Linked DNA regions of Lonchura striata. The protein of the gene in region 1 purifies or fractionates together with the protein of each later gene. This does not show direct contact. Links are inferred from orthologs where the notes say so. Each region holds a gene or a part of one and is shown in the gene's direction. Other genes may lie near its edges.

Region 1 (7,116 bases):
GGTGACAGTGACAATGACCCCGTGTCCCTGAGGTGACAGTGACATTGTCCCCATGTCCCAGAGGTGACAGTGACCATGTCCCCATGTCCCCGAGGTGACAGTGACAATGTCCCCGTGCCGCAGGCGCTGACGGTGACGATGACCAAGGCCGCGGGCAGTTTCCGCGCCCGGGGCTGGCTGTCCCCAAGGTGACAGTGACCATGTCCCCATGTCCCAGAGGTGACAGTGACAATGACCCCGTGTCCCTGAGGTGACAGTGACCATGTCCCCATGTCCCAGAGGTGACAGTGACAATGACCCCGTGTCCCCGAGGTGACAATGACCATGTCCCCATGTCCCCGAGGTGACAGTGACATTGTCCCCGTGCCGCAGGCGCTGACGGTGACGATGACCAAGGCCGCGGGCAGTTTCCGCGCCCGGGGCGGGCTGTCCCCAAGGTGACAGTGACCATGTCCCCATGTCCCCGAGGTGACAGTGACAATGACCCCATGTCCCCGAGGTGACAGTGACATTGTCCCCGTGCCACAGGCGCTGACGGTGACGATGACCAAGGCCGCGGGCAGTTTCCGCGCCCGGGGCTGGCTGTCCCCGCGCGTGGCGGCCGCGGTGGCCTCGGGGACGAGGACGGTTCTGTACCGGGGTCCCCTGCGCCCGCTCTGCGCCCTCGTCCCCAACAACGTCAACGCCATGGCGGCCGCGGCCCTGGCGGCGCCGCGCCTCGGCTTCGACGGCGTCACCGCCTGCCTGGTGGCCGACCCCAGGTGGGCACCCGGGGACGGGGGGGGACACCGGGGTGGCACCTGTGGCACCTTCTGTGGCACTTGGGTGGCACCTGTGGCACCCCCGTGGCACCTCCTGTGTCACCGCTGTCACCTCCTGTGGCACCCGCTGTGGCACCTGTGTTGTGTGTGGCACCTGTGTCACCTTCTATGGCACCCGGGTGGCACCTGTGGCACCTTCTGTGGCACCTGTGGCACCTGTCACCTGGCTGTGGCACCTCCTGTGGCACCTGGGTGGCGCCTGTGTTGTGTGTGGCACCTGTGTCACCTTCTACGGCACCTGAGTGGCACTCGGGTGGCACCTGTGTCACCTCCTGTGGCACCTGGGTGGCACTTGGGTGGCACCTGTGTCACCTCCTGTGTCACCTGTGGCACCCCCTGTGACACCTGTGGCACCTGGGTTGCGTGTGGCTCCTCTGTCACCTCCTGTGGCACCTGAGTGGCACCTGTGTCACCTCCTGTGGCACCTGTGTCACCTCCTGTGTCACCCGTGTGGCACCTGTTTCACCTCCTGTGGCACCTGGGTGGCACCTGTCACCTGGCTGTGGCACCTCCTGTGGCACCACGTGGCACCTGTGTTGTGTGTGGCACCTGTGTCACCTTCTATGGCACCTGAGTGGCACCTGGGTGGCACCTGTGGCACCTCCTGTGTCACCGCTGTCACCTCCTGTGGCACCCGCTGTGGCGCCTGTGTTGTGTGTGGAACCTGTGTCACCTTCTATGGCACCTGGGTGGCACTTGGGTGGTGCCTGTGTCACCTCCTGTGGCACCTGGGTGGCACCTGTGGCACCCCCTGTGACACCTGTGGCACCTGGGTTGCATGTGGCTCCTCTGTCACCTCCTGTGGCACCTGGGTGGCACCTGTGTCACCTCCTGTGGCACCTGTGTCACCTCCTGTGGCACCTGGGTGGCACCTGTGTCACCTCCTGTGGCACCTGTGTCACCTGGGTGGCACCTGTGGCATCCCCTGTGTCACCTGTGTCGTGTGTGGCACCTCCTGTGGCATGTGGGTGGCACCTGTGGCACCTCCTGTGTGACGTGTGTCACCTCCTGTGACACCTGGATCACCTGAGTGGCACTTGGGTGGCACCTGTGTCACCTCCTGTGGCACCTGAGTGGCACATGGGTGGCACCTGTGCTGTGTGTGTCACCTCCCTGTCCTTCCAGTGCCACCCCCAATGTCCCCCCAGTGTCCCCTCAGTGTCCCTGTCCCTGCAGTGTCCCTGTCCTTGTCCCCGCAGTGTCCCCAATGTCCCCTCAGTGTCACTGTCACTGTCCCCAGTGTCCCCTCAGTGTCCCCAATGTCCCCTCAGTGTCCCTGTCCCTGTCCCCGCAGTGTCCCCGACTGCCACCTCGTCACTGTGGATGTCCCCTCAGTGTCCCTGTCCCTGTCCCTGCAGTGTCCCCAATGTCCCCTCAGTGTCCCCAATGTCCCCTCAGTGTCACTGTCCCTGCAGTGTCCCTGTCCTTGTCCCCCCAGTGTCCCCAATGTCCCCTCAGTGTCACTGTCACTGTCCCCAATGTCCCCTCAGTGTCCCCAATGTCCCCTCAATGTCCCTGTCCCTGTCCCCGCAGTGTCCCCAATGTCCCCTCAGTGTCCCTGTCCCTGTCCCCGCAGTGTCCCCGACTGCCACCTCGTCACCGTGGATGTCCCCTCAGTGTCCCCAATGTCCCCTCAGTGTCCCTGTCCTTGTCCCCGCAGTGTCCCCAATGTCCCCTCAGTGTCCCCAATGTCCCCTCAATGTCCCTGTCCCTGTTCCCGCAGTGTCCCCAATGTCCCCTCAGTGTCACTGTCACTGTCCCCAGTGTCCCCTCAGTGTCTCCAATGTCCCCAATGTCCCCTCAGTGTCCCTGTCCTTGTCCCCTCAGTGTCCCCAATGTCCCCTCAGTGTCCCTGTCCTTGTCCCCGCAGTGTCCCCAATGTCCCCTCAGTGTCCCCTCAGTGTCCCTGTCCCTGTCCCCGCAGTGTCCCCAATGTCCCCTCAGTGTCCCCAGTGTCCCCTCAGTGTCCCTGTCCCTGTCCCCGCAGTGTCCCCAATGTCCCCTCAGTGTCCCCAGTGTCCCCTCAGTGTCCCTGTCCCTGTCCCCGCAGTGTCCCCAATGTCCCCTCAGTGTCCCTGTCTCCGCAGTGTCCCCGACTGCCACCTCGTCACCGTGGATGTCCCCTCAGGGTCCCCAATGTCCCTGTCCCTGTCCCTGTCGTATCCCCAATGTCCCCTCAGTGTCCCCAATGTCCCCTCAGTGTCCCTGTCCCTGTCCCCGCAGTGTCCCTGTCACTGTCCCAAATGTCCCTGTCATTGTCCCCGCAGTGTCCCCGACTGCCACCTCGTCACCGTGGATGTCACCGCTGTCCCTGTCCCTGTCCCCTCAGTGTCCCCAATGTCCCCTCAATGTCCCCAATGTCCCCTCCGTGTCCCTGTCATTGTCCCCACAGTGTCCCCGACTGCCACCTCGTCACTGTGGATGTCCCCGCAGTGTCCCCAATGTCCCCTCAGTGTCACTGTCACTGTCCCCAATGTCCCCAATGTCCCCTCAATGTCCCTGTCCCTGTCCCCGCAGTGTCCCCAATGTCCCTGTCCCTGTCCCCACAGTGTCCCCAATGTCCCTGTCCCTGCAGTGTCCCCAATGTCCCCTCAGTGTCCCCAATGTCCCTGTCATTGTCCCCGCAGTGTCCCCGACTGCCACCTCGTCACCGTGGATGTCACCGCTGTCCCCGAGGGTGGCCGCGCCCTCACCGTCACCAGCACCCGCCGCAACCCCGCCGAGCCCGGCCACGTCACGGGCAGCGCCACCCGCCACAGCTTCTGGAGCAGCGTGCTGGGTGTGGCCCTGTCCCCTGTGCCACCCCTGTGCCACCCCGGTGCCACCCCGGTGTCACCCCGGTGTCACCTCGGTGCCACCCGCGCCACCCCTCCACGTGTCGCTCATTTATCCCCTCCCCGCAGCCTGCACCGGGCACGGCGGCTGCCTCAAGCTCTGCTGAGGAAGGAGCGAGAGCGGAAACCCAGCGGGGACGCCGCGGGGACAAATTTTGTTGTCGCCAAATTTTGGGGACAATAAAATAAAATAAAAAAACAAACAACCCGCCCGAGGCTGGCGGCGCCGGCGCCCTTCTTGTAATGGCGGCGGGGGGAAAGCCGCGATCTGATTGGTGGAAACGCTGAGGGAGGGAGGGATTCTGGCTGCTGATTGGTGGGTGCTGGCGCGCGAAGCGTTAAGGGAGGAAGGTCAAGGCGCTGATTGGATGGAGGAGGATGCGGCCGCGCTCTGATTGGTCGGCGCGGCGCGGGGCATGACGGGAGTTGTAGTTCCGGCCCGCCATGGCGCCGGAGGAGGCGCCGGGTGAGGAGCGGGGGAGAGGCCGGGGCTGAATTTTGGGGGGTCCCGGGGGGTCCTGGGGGGCTCGAGGAGGTTTTGGGGGGGCAGGAGGGGATTTGGGGGGGGAGGGAAGTGGAGGCCGCGGGAGGGGGGAAGGGCTGGGGAGGCCTGGGGGGGTTTGGGGGATTTTGGGAGGATTTTGGGGGATTTGGGGGTCCTGAGGAGATTTTGGGGGGGGGGGGTCAGGGTGGTCTTGGGGTTTTGGGGGTGCCAGGAATTTTGGGAGGGGTCCTGAGGGGGATTTGGGGGTCCCGGGGTGATTTTGGGGGGGATTAGAAGGAATTTGGGGGACCTGGGAGGGATTTTGGGGGGTCCTGGGGGGAATTTGGGGGTGCCAGGAATTTGGGGAGGGGTCCTGGAGGTGATTTGAGGGGAAATTGGGGGGGTCTCAGGGGTTTGGGGGGGATTTGGGGCGTATTTGATGGATTTTGGGGACCTTTGGGTGTGTCAGGAATTTGGGGAGGGGTCCTGGGGGGATTTGGAGGAATTTTGGGGGAATTTGGGGAGGGGTCTCGGGGTTATTTGAGAGAGTTTTGAGGGGAATTTGAGGAGGAGTCTTGGGGGAAATTTGGGGAGGGGTCTCAGTGATTTGGGGGAATTTGGGGAGGGGTCTCGGGGTGATTTGAGAGAATTTTGGGGGGAATTTGAGGGAATTTGGGGAGGGGGTCTCAGGGTGAATTGGGATAATTTGGGGAGGGGTCTTGGGGGATTTGGAGAGAATTTTGGGGGGAATTTGGGGAGGGGTCTCAGGGGTGATTTGGGGAGGGGTCTCAGGGTGACTTGAGGGAATTTTGGGGGAATTTGGGAGAATTTGGGGAGGGGTCTCAGGGTGATTTGGGGAGGGGTCTCAGGGTGATTCGGGGTAATTTGGGGAGGGGTCTCTGGGGGAATTTCAGGAGATTTGGGGAGGGGTCTCAGGGTAATTTGGGGAGGGGTCTCAGGGTGATTTGGGGGAATTTTGGGGGGAATTTTGGGGAATTTGGGGAGGGGTCCCTGGGGGAATTTCAGGAGATTTGGGGAGGGGTCTTGGGGTGATTCAGGGTAATTTGGGGAGGGGTCTCGGGGTGATTCGGGGTAATTTGAGGAGGGGTCTCAGGGGTGATTTGAGAGAATTTGGGGAGGGGTCTCGTGGGTTATTTGAGAGAATTTTGGGGGGAATTTGGGGAGGGGTCTCAGGTTGATTTGAGAGGATTTTGGGGGGAATTTGAGGGAATTTGGGGAGGGGTCTCAGGGTGATTTGGGGGAATTTTGGGGAGTTTGGGGAGGGGTCCTGGGGGGAATTTCAGGAGATTTGGGGAGGGGTCTTGGGGTAATTTGAGGAGGGGTCTCAGGGTGACTTGGGGAGGGGTCTCGGGGGTAATTTGGGGAGGGGTCTCCCCAAACTCGGGGGTCCCACGCTCACCCTTTCCCCCCCCCCCCCCCCTCCCTGCAGCCCCCCAGGCGGATTTGGGGGGGCTCTCCCCGGATTTGGGGGGGGTCTCCCCGGATTTGGGGGGGGTCTCCCCAGATTTGGGGGCGGTCTTCTCGGATTTGGGGGGGGTCCTGGCCGCATTTGGGTCTGGGGTCCCGGCGGAGCCGTACCACGAGCGGCAGCGCCGGCAGCTCTGCGCCCTGCACGCCCTCAACAACCTCCTGCAGCGGCCCTGGCTCAGCCAGGCCTCGGCCGACCGCATCTGCCAGCGGTGAGACCCCAGACCCAATTCGGGGAACCGCCCCCGGACCCCAGACCCAATTCGGGGAGGGGTCTCAGGGGGGTTTGGGGCGGTTTTGGGGGGGTTTGGGGCTGCTTTGAGGGCGCTGGGAAGGGTTCCTGAATTTGGGGAGGGGTCCCAAGGGTGTGGGGAGGAATCTTAGTGGGGTTTTCTGAATTTGGGGAGGGGTCTCAGGGGGTTTTAGGGGGGTTTGGGGCTGCTTTGAGGGCACTGGGAAGGTTTCCTCAATTTGGGGAGGGGTCTCAGGAGGGTTCCTGAATTTGGGGAGGGGTCTCAGGGGAGTTCCCGAATTTGGGGAGGGGTCCCATGGGGGTTCCCGAATTTGGGGAGGGGTCCCAAGGGTGTGGGGAGGGGTCTTGGTGGGGTTTTCTGAATTTGGGGAGGGGTCTCAGGGGGTTTTGGGGGGTTTTGGGGCTGCTTTGAGGGCACTGGGAAGGGTTCCTGAATTTGGGGAGGGGTCTCAAGGGTGTGGGGAAAGGTCTTGGTGGCGTTCCCTGAATTTGGGGAGGGGTCTCTGGGCTGTTCATTAATTAGGGGAGGGGTCTTTGCTAATTTGGGGAGGGGTCTCTGGGCTGTTCATTAATTAGGGGAGGGGTCTTTGCTAATTTGGGGAGGGGTCTGTGGGTTGTTCGTTAATTAGGGGAGGGGTCTTTGCTAATTTGGGGAGGGGTCTGTGGGGGTTCATTAATTAGGGGAGGGGTCTTTGTTAATTTGGGGAGGGGTCTGTGGGGGTTCATTAAATAGGGGAGGGGTCTTTGCTAATTTGGGGAGGGGTCTCTGGGCTGTTCATTAATTAGGGGAGGGGTCTTTGCTAATTTGGGGAGGGGTCTGTGGGTTGTTCGTTAATTAGGGGAGGGGTCTTTGCTAATTTGGGGAGGGGTCTGTGGGGGTTCATTAATTAGGGGAGGGGTCTTTGTTAATTTGGGGAGGGGTCTGTGGGGGTTCATTAATTAGGGGAGGGGTCTTTGCTAATTTGGGGAGGGGTCTCTGGGCTGTTCATTAATTAGGGGAGGGGTCTTTGCTAATTTGGGGAGGGGTCTGTAGGGGTTCATTAATTAGGGGAGGGGTCTGTGGGGGTTCATTAATTAGGGGAGGGGTCTTTGCTAATTTGGGGAGGGGTCTGTGGGGGTTCATTAATTAGGGGAGGGGTCTTTGCTAATTTGGGGAGGGGTCTCTGGGCTGTTCATTAATTTGGGGAGGGGTCTTTGGTAATTTGGGGAGGGGTCTCTGGGCTGTTCATTAATTAG
Region 2 (7,391 bases), on another chromosome or scaffold:
GGGCAGTTCTGGGGACAACCGGGGCCTTTGCCTGCAGGTGGCACCACGGGCTAAAATATCCCCCAAACCCCTAAAATTTGGGTAGCCCCAAATTTTGGAGTGCTCCTGGGTGGGGTCCCACTGAAGCATCCAAAGTTTCCCACAGCGCTGGTGCTTTCTTTTGGGGGGAAAAATGCTGCTTTTGGAAAAGATCCTTTTCTTATTTTGCTTGAGAGCCCTGCAGCTGCAGGGTTTGGTTATCCTGCAAACCAAACCCTGAAATTTAGGTGGAATTGTTCAGTGAAAATTGCATTTTTCCAGTGTTTGTTATTTTTTATTTTTGGGCTGACCCTGCTCCAGAGTCAGAGCTGGATGGTCCGGGATGAAACAAAATATTTCTCTTTATCTACTTTTTTTGGGGCTATTTATTTTCTTTCTATATATTTTATTTCATAGCTTTCTTGGTGAAAATCCCAGTTCTAACAAAACTATTCCTACAAGATTTGCCATTTTGAAACAAAACCACCAAAATATTTTCATTTTGGAAGCAGCAGGAGATGTGCTGACGACATCACATCCCCTCCCAAAAAACCCCACCTGGATTTTGTGCAGGGGGAGAAAATGTTGAAGGAGTTTGCCAAAATCCAGCAAATTTCCCTGAAATATCCTTAGGGAAAAGCTCCAGCATTCCCATGGGAGGTGCAGGAGAACGAAGTGCAGAGGGTCACACATCTCCCAACACCTCCAGAGGTGAAAAACGGGGAAATTTCAGGAAATTTGGGTAATATTCCCTGTGGATTCACTGATTCCCTGTGTTTTCACTGAACCACTGATCCCTAGGGAGAAATGTTGGCATTTTCCACCCATCTGGTGGAATTAAAAGGATGAAATCTCAGCCGGACCAGAAAACAAACCTGGAAAATGCAGGTTTTTCCTCCTGCTCTACCTTAATTCTGTTTGTGGGAAAAACCAAGCTCTGCTGTGGATCTACGGCTCTCGAGGAGGATTTGGAATTTTGCTTTTCCAAAGCTGTTTTCTCCCAAACTTCCAGGCAGAACCATCCCAGCCTGGTGTCAGGGAGCGAGGGAGGGAGGCAGCCCCGAGCTGCCTGCTTCTCACAGAGCCCCAATTGTTGGAGCCTCCCTCCCCAAACTTCCCCTCCTGATTTCTGTTGTTTTCCCAGATAAATCACCAGGCACGGCCTGGATCCCTGGGATAACCTCTCTGATGCCTCAGGGTTGAGCTTTTATATTTTTGACATTCTGAGCTGCTTTGGTGTGTGGGTCTGGGCTTCACATGATGGGATGCTGAGCTCTGTGCGCAGAGCAGGGACACAAAACAATTCCTGCTCCAGCTGGGCACCAAGGACAAATGATCCAAACCTCAGCCCAGGAGCACAAACACCGTGGGCTGGAGAGAGAAAAACAAGCAGGATGGGACTGATGGGCTGGAGCTGGAATGGGAATGAACTCCAAGGTGCCAATGGAGCAGAACTGATCCCAGGGAGAGCCCCGGGAGCGCTCGTGCATTTTGGGGCCAGTTTGGGTCATTCTGGGTTCATTTTGGGACCATTTTGGTTCATTTTGGGACCATTTTGGGTCATCTTGGGTTCATTTTGGGACCATTTTGGTTAATTTGGGTGCAGCCCTGGCTGGGCTCTGGTGCTGCCCAGGGTGGATCCATGGAGGAGATCCTTTAATAAATCCCTAATTTATTCTTTAGTCCAACCTCTGCTCTAGGTCAGGTTCTCAAGGCATCAGCCCTGGCATTTATGCCAAATCAACACCAGTTTTGGGGCTGCTGGCAGCAGCACAGGCTGTTTTTCCCAGGAAAACACCATCCCTGCCAGTCTCCTGATTTTAGGAATATCCTTTAAAAGGTGAAGAAGAGCCCACCTGGAACCAGGTGGGCTCAGGGTCAGGATTTTGCCCTGGTGAAGGATGCCCAAAACAACCTGGGATCTTTTTGTGGGATCTGAGATGATAAATTCCAGAGGATTTCTTTATCTCCAGGTTGGCACAAGCTCCTCTCAGAGACGAGAACTCAGGGTCAGGATTTTGCATTTATAAGTGATTTGCAAAACAATCTGATGGGTTTTTTGTGGGATCTGTGGCACCAGGAAATGATAAATTTTAAAGGATTTCTCCATCCTCAGGTCGACACAATCTCCTTCCTTCAGCACAGGAGGATCAGGGTCAGGGTTTTGCCTTTGGTCAAAACAACCTGGTGGGTTTTTGTTTTGGGTTTTTTATTTTTTTTTCCCCCTGGGATCTGTGGTACCAGGAAATGATGAATTCTGGAGGATTTCTCCATCTTCAGGTTGACACAAGCTCCTCCCTCAGCAGAGGAGGGGATTTTGCCTTTGTCAAAACAACCTGGTGGGTTTTTGTTTTGTGTTTTTGTTGGGGTTTTTTTGTTTTGTTTTGGGGGGTTTTTTTGGTGGTTTTTTTTTTTGTTGTTGTTGTTTTTTGTTTTGGTTTGGGTTTTTTGTTGGTTTTTTTGTTGTTGTTTTTTGTGGGATCTGTGGCACCAGGAAATGATAAATTTTAAAGGATTTCTCCCATCTCCAGGGCAGCAGAAGCTCCTCTCCTCCGCAGAGGAGGATCAGGGTCAGAATTGAGAATTAATTAAGCTCTCACCCACCAGCAGCTCCAAGTTCTTCTCTCAGAGCTGGTATCAATCAATAACAATAATAAAAGCACTCCAGGAGAGGCACATTCCCAAAGAACTGGATTGAGAAACTTCAATCTTCAATTAATCTTCAATTAAAACTTCAATCATTAACTGTAAATCACAAACGTTGTGGTTTAGCACTGGTTTGTGCCTCTGTGGCCAGTCCCAGGTTTTTGGATGGCACGTTCCCCATGCCAGGATGTTGTGGTTCCTCATTCCCAAGGGTTTTCCTGGCCTTGGTTGGGATTGATGGTCTGGGAGGGTTATTCCGACCCTTTGTCTCTGAAATTCTGTAATTTCAGCCAAATTTTCCCATTGGGATGGCTTTAGTGGGACATCTTCCTTGCTGGTGGCTCTTGGGGACATGGATCAGTGGTGGCCTTGCAGTGGTTGGGCTTCATTGCCTGGGAGGCTTTTCCAACCCCAATGGCTCCGAAATTCCGTAATTTTGGTCCAGGCGTGGGGAGATGCCTGGCCAGACCGTGGCACCGTGGGGACACCGAGTCCTGTGACGGATTGAGTCCAGAGAAGGGACAAAGGAGCTGGGGAAGGGAATGGAGCCCGGGAGGGGCTGAGGGAGCTGGGAAGGGAATGGAGCCCGGGAGGGGCCGAGGGAGCTGGGAAGGGAATGGAGCCCGGGAGGGGCCGAGGGAGCTGGGAAGGGAATGGAGCCCGGGAGGGGCCGAGGGAGCTGGGAAGGGAATGGAGCCCAGGAGGGGCCGAGGGAGCTGGGAAGGGAATGGAGAATCTCTGAGGGAGCTGGGAAGGGAATGGAGCCCGGGAGGGGCCGAGGGAGCTGGGAAGGGAATGGAGCCCAGGAGGGGCTGAGGGAGCTGGGAAGGGAATGGAGCCCGGGAGGGGCCGAGGGAGCTGGGAAGGGAATGGAGCCCGGGAGGGGCCGAGGGAGCTGGGAAGGGAATGGAGCCCGGGAGCACCTGAGGGAGCTGGGAAGGGAATGGAGCCCAGGAGGGGCTGAGGGAGCTGGGAAGGGAATGGAGCCCAGGAGGGGCCGAGGGAGCTGGGAAGGGAATGGAGCCCGGGAGGGGCCGAGGGAGCTGGGAAGGGAATGGAGCCCGGGAGCACCTGAGGGAGCTGGGAAGGGAATGGAGCCCGGGAGCACCTGAGGGAGCTGGGAAGGGGCTGAGCCTGGAGCCAAGGAGGCTCAGGGGGACCTTGTGGCTCTGCACAAGTCCCTGCCAGGAGGGGACAGCCGGGGGGTCGGGCTGTGCTCCAGGGAACAGGGACAGGAGGAGAGGGAACGGCCTCAGGCTGGGCCAGGGCAGCCTCAGGGGGCATTTTGGGGAAATTCCTTCATGGAAAGGGTTGTCAGGCCTTGGCAGGGGCTGCCCAGGGAGGTTTGGAGCTCCCATCCCTGGAGGTATCCCAGAAATTCCTGGAGGTGGCACTCAGGGCTCTGAGCTGGGGACACAAGGTGGGCATCGGGCACAGCTTGGTCTCGATGGTCCTGAAGGTGTTTTACAACCTCAATGCCTCTGCGATTCTGTGCCCAGCGGCCGAAACACTGAAAATCCACCAAAACGTGAAAAAAACCCAAACAACCAAATAACGCCGTTCACGGCCCCTCGCGGACTACAACTCCCGCCAACCCCCGCGCGGCCGCGCTGCGGGGGGCGCCGGGAGTTGTAGTCGCGACGGGGCGGAGCAGGCCCGGCAGGACTACACGTCCCGGCATGCCGCGCGGCGGCGAGGCGGCGGGGCGGGGCGGGGCGGGGCGGGGCCGGCAGCCCTGAGGGAGCCGGAGCCGGAGCGGCGCCGGAGCAGCTCGGCGGCGATGTCGGTGCAGGTGGCGGTGGCCGCGCCCGCCGTGGAGCTGAAGGAGCTGGGCGGCCCCATGGACAAGGCGGCGGGGCCGCCGTGCGAGCCTGCGGGCGCTCACGCAGCGGGGCACGGCGTGGCGGCGGCGGCGCCCGCCTGCCCCGTGCCGGGCGGCGAGCGTGAGGCGGCCCCGGCCCCCTGCGCCGAGCGGCCTCCGGGCAGCGGCTGCCCCGGGCTGTCCTCGGCCGCCGCCAAGGCGCCGCAAGCCTCGGCCATGAAGAGGAGCGACCCGCACCACCCCCAGCACCGGCACCGCGACGGCGGCGAGAGCGGCGGCGCCGCGGCCGAGGCGCTGGTGAGCCCCGACGGCACCGTCAGCGAGGCGCCGCGCACCGTCAAGAAGGTAACGGGGGCGGCGGCGGCGCGGAGCCCTCCCGGCGGGCCCGGGCCGTGGGGTGCCGCTGTGGGGGTGCCCCGGGCTCGGGGGGTGTCGGTGAGCCGGGGGTGCTCCGCGGCTCTGCTTGCGTTTTGGGGAGGTGTTGTGCCGTGCCTGGCGGCGCGTTTGCGTCTCGTCCCTCCCCGCTGCCGGGTTTGTGCACTGGGGACGTGGGGGGTGACGCTGGGTGCCCTTGCACCCCATTTCTGCAGCCCCAGATGACACTGGGTGCCCTTGCACCCCATTTCTGCAGCCCCAGATGACGCTGGGTGCCCTTGCACCCCATTTCTGCAGCCCCAGATGACGCTGGGTGCCCTTGCACCCCATTTCTGAACCCCCAGGTGACGCTGGGTGCCCTTACACCCATTTCTGCACCCCCAGGTGTCTCTGGGTGCCCTTACACCCCATTTCTGCACCCCCAGGTGACACTGGGTGCGTTTACACCCCATTTTTGCCCCCCCAGGTGACTCTGGGTGCCCTTACACCCCATTTCTGCACCCCCAGGTGACTCTGGGTGCCCTTACACCCCATTTCTGCACCCCCAGGTGTCTCTGGGTGCCCTTACACCCCATTTCTGCACCCCCAGGTGACTCTGGGTGCCCTTACACCCCATTTCTGCACCCCCAGGTGACTCTGGGTGCCCTTACACCCATTTCTGCACCCCCAGGTGTCACTGGGTGCCCTTACACCCATTTCGGCACCCCCAGGTGTCTCTGGGTGCCCTTACACCCCATTTCTGCACCCCCAGGTGTCTCTGGGTGCCCTTACACCCCATTTCTGCACCCCCAGGTGTCTCTGGGTGCCCTTACACCCCATTTCTGCACCCCCAGGTGTCTCTGGGTGCCCTTACACCCCACACCTGCAGCCCCAGGTGACTCTGGATGGGTTTGCACCCCATTTCTGCACCCCCAGGTGTCTCTGGGTGCCCTTACACCCCATTTCTGCACCCCCAGGTGACACTGGGTGCCCTTACACCCCATTTCGGCACCCCCAGGTGACACTGGGTGCCCTTACACCCCATTTCTGCACCCCCAGGTGACACTGGGTGCCCTTACACCCCATTTCGGCACCCCCAGGTGACACTGGGTGCCCTTACACCCCATTTCTGCACCCCCAGGTGTCTCTGGGTGCCCTTACACCCCCTTTCTGCACCCCCAGGTGTCTCTGGGTGCCCTTACACCCCCTTTCTGCACCCCCAGGTGTCTCTGGGTGCCCTTACACCCCACACCTGCAGCCCCAGGTGACTCTGGATGGGTTTGCACCCCATTTCTGCACCCCCAGGTGTCTCTGGGTGCCCTTACACCCCATTTCTGCACCCCCAGGTGACGTTGGGTGCCCTTACACCCCACACCTGCAGCCCCAGGTGACTCTGGATGGGTTTGCACCCCATTTCTGCACCCCCAGGTGTCTCTGGGTGCGTTTACACCCCATTTCTGCACCTCCAGGTGACACTGGGTGCCCTTACACCCATTTCTGCACCCCCAGGTGTCTCTGGATGGGTTTGCACCCCATTTCTGCACCCCCAGGTGTCTCTGGGTGCCCTTACACCCCATTTCTGCACCCCCAGGTGACACTGGGTGCGTTTACACCCCATTTCTGCCCCCCCAGGTGACTCTGGGTGCCCTTACACCCCATTTCTGCACCCCCAGGTGTCTCTGGATGGGTTTGCACCCCATTTCTGCACCCCCAGGTGACTCTGGGTGCCCTTACACCCCATTTCTGCACCCCCAGGTGTCTCTGGGTGCCCTTACACCCCATTTCTGCACCCCCAGGTGTCTCTGGATGGGTTTGCACCCCATTTCTGCACCCCCAGGTGACACTGGGTGCCCTTACACCCCATTTCTGCACCCCCAGGTGTCTCTGGGTGCCCTTACACCCATTTCTGCAGCCCCAGGTGACACTGGGTGCCCTTACACCCCATTTCTGCCCCCCCAGGTGACTCTGGGTGCCCTTACACCCCATTTCTGCACCCCCAGGTGTCTCTGGATGGGTTTGCACCCCATTTCTGCACCCCCAGGTGACTCTGGGTGCCCTTACACCCCATTTCTGCACCCCCAGGTGTCTCTGGGTGCCCTTACACCCCATTTCTGCACCCCCAGGTGTCTCTGGATGGGTTTGCACCCCATTTCTGCACCCCCAGGTGACACTGGGTGCCCTTACACCCCATTTCTGCACCCCCAGGTGTCTCTGGGTGCCCTTACACCCATTTCTGCAGCCCCAGGGTGTGTGCAGGTTCACATCAGGTTCACGTTCCCAGGGTTATCTGGGGAATGTGGGGAAGATAAAAACGTCCCAGGTGCCACCGGTGACGTTGGCACGGGGGGCAGGGCCAGGTGTGCCCACGGCTGGGTGTGGGGTGTGTCGGGGGTGGATTTTGGGGTGCCCCTCTCCCGGGGGTGCCGTGGCCTTGCAGCTGCAGCCCAGGAGTGTGAGGAGCTGTGGATCCTGGCGAGTTCCTCCGTGTGTCTGCAGCTCCTCAGGTGGACTCCGCTGCTCCCTGGAGCAGGGGGGTTGTTGTACCTGCTGT

Evidence for each region. The genes of interacting proteins can lie anywhere in the genome.
Region 2: the proteins of JOSD2 (region 1) and AHCYL2 purify together in Homo sapiens (affinity purification with mass spectrometry; 3 studies listed by BioGRID and IntAct, counting the BioPlex papers as one, with this or other methods). This does not show direct contact. The link is inferred for Lonchura striata from reciprocal best matches to the Homo sapiens genes JOSD2 and AHCYL2.

The regions. Positions count from the first base shown.
Region 1 is NC_134640.1:1,544,759-1,551,874, reverse strand, and holds the start of JOSD2 (josephin-2), read left to right. Parts: upstream 1-4,099; coding exon 4,100-4,121; intron 4,122-5,589; coding exon 5,590-5,839; intron 5,840-7,116. Other genes in the region: ASPDH (aspartate dehydrogenase domain-containing protein), read left to right, coding at 529-761, 3,449-3,600, 3,725-3,762. UniProt on the Homo sapiens protein: Cleaves 'Lys-63'-linked poly-ubiquitin chains, and with lesser efficiency 'Lys-48'-linked poly-ubiquitin chains (in vitro). May act as a deubiquitinating enzyme.
Region 2 is NC_134607.1:72,297,838-72,305,228, reverse strand, and holds the start of AHCYL2 (adenosylhomocysteinase 3), read left to right. Parts: upstream 1-4,386; 5' UTR 4,387-4,444; coding exon 4,445-4,831; intron 4,832-7,391. UniProt on the Homo sapiens protein: May regulate the electrogenic sodium/bicarbonate cotransporter SLC4A4 activity and Mg(2+)-sensitivity. On the contrary of its homolog AHCYL1, does not regulate ITPR1 sensitivity to inositol 1,4,5-trisphosphate.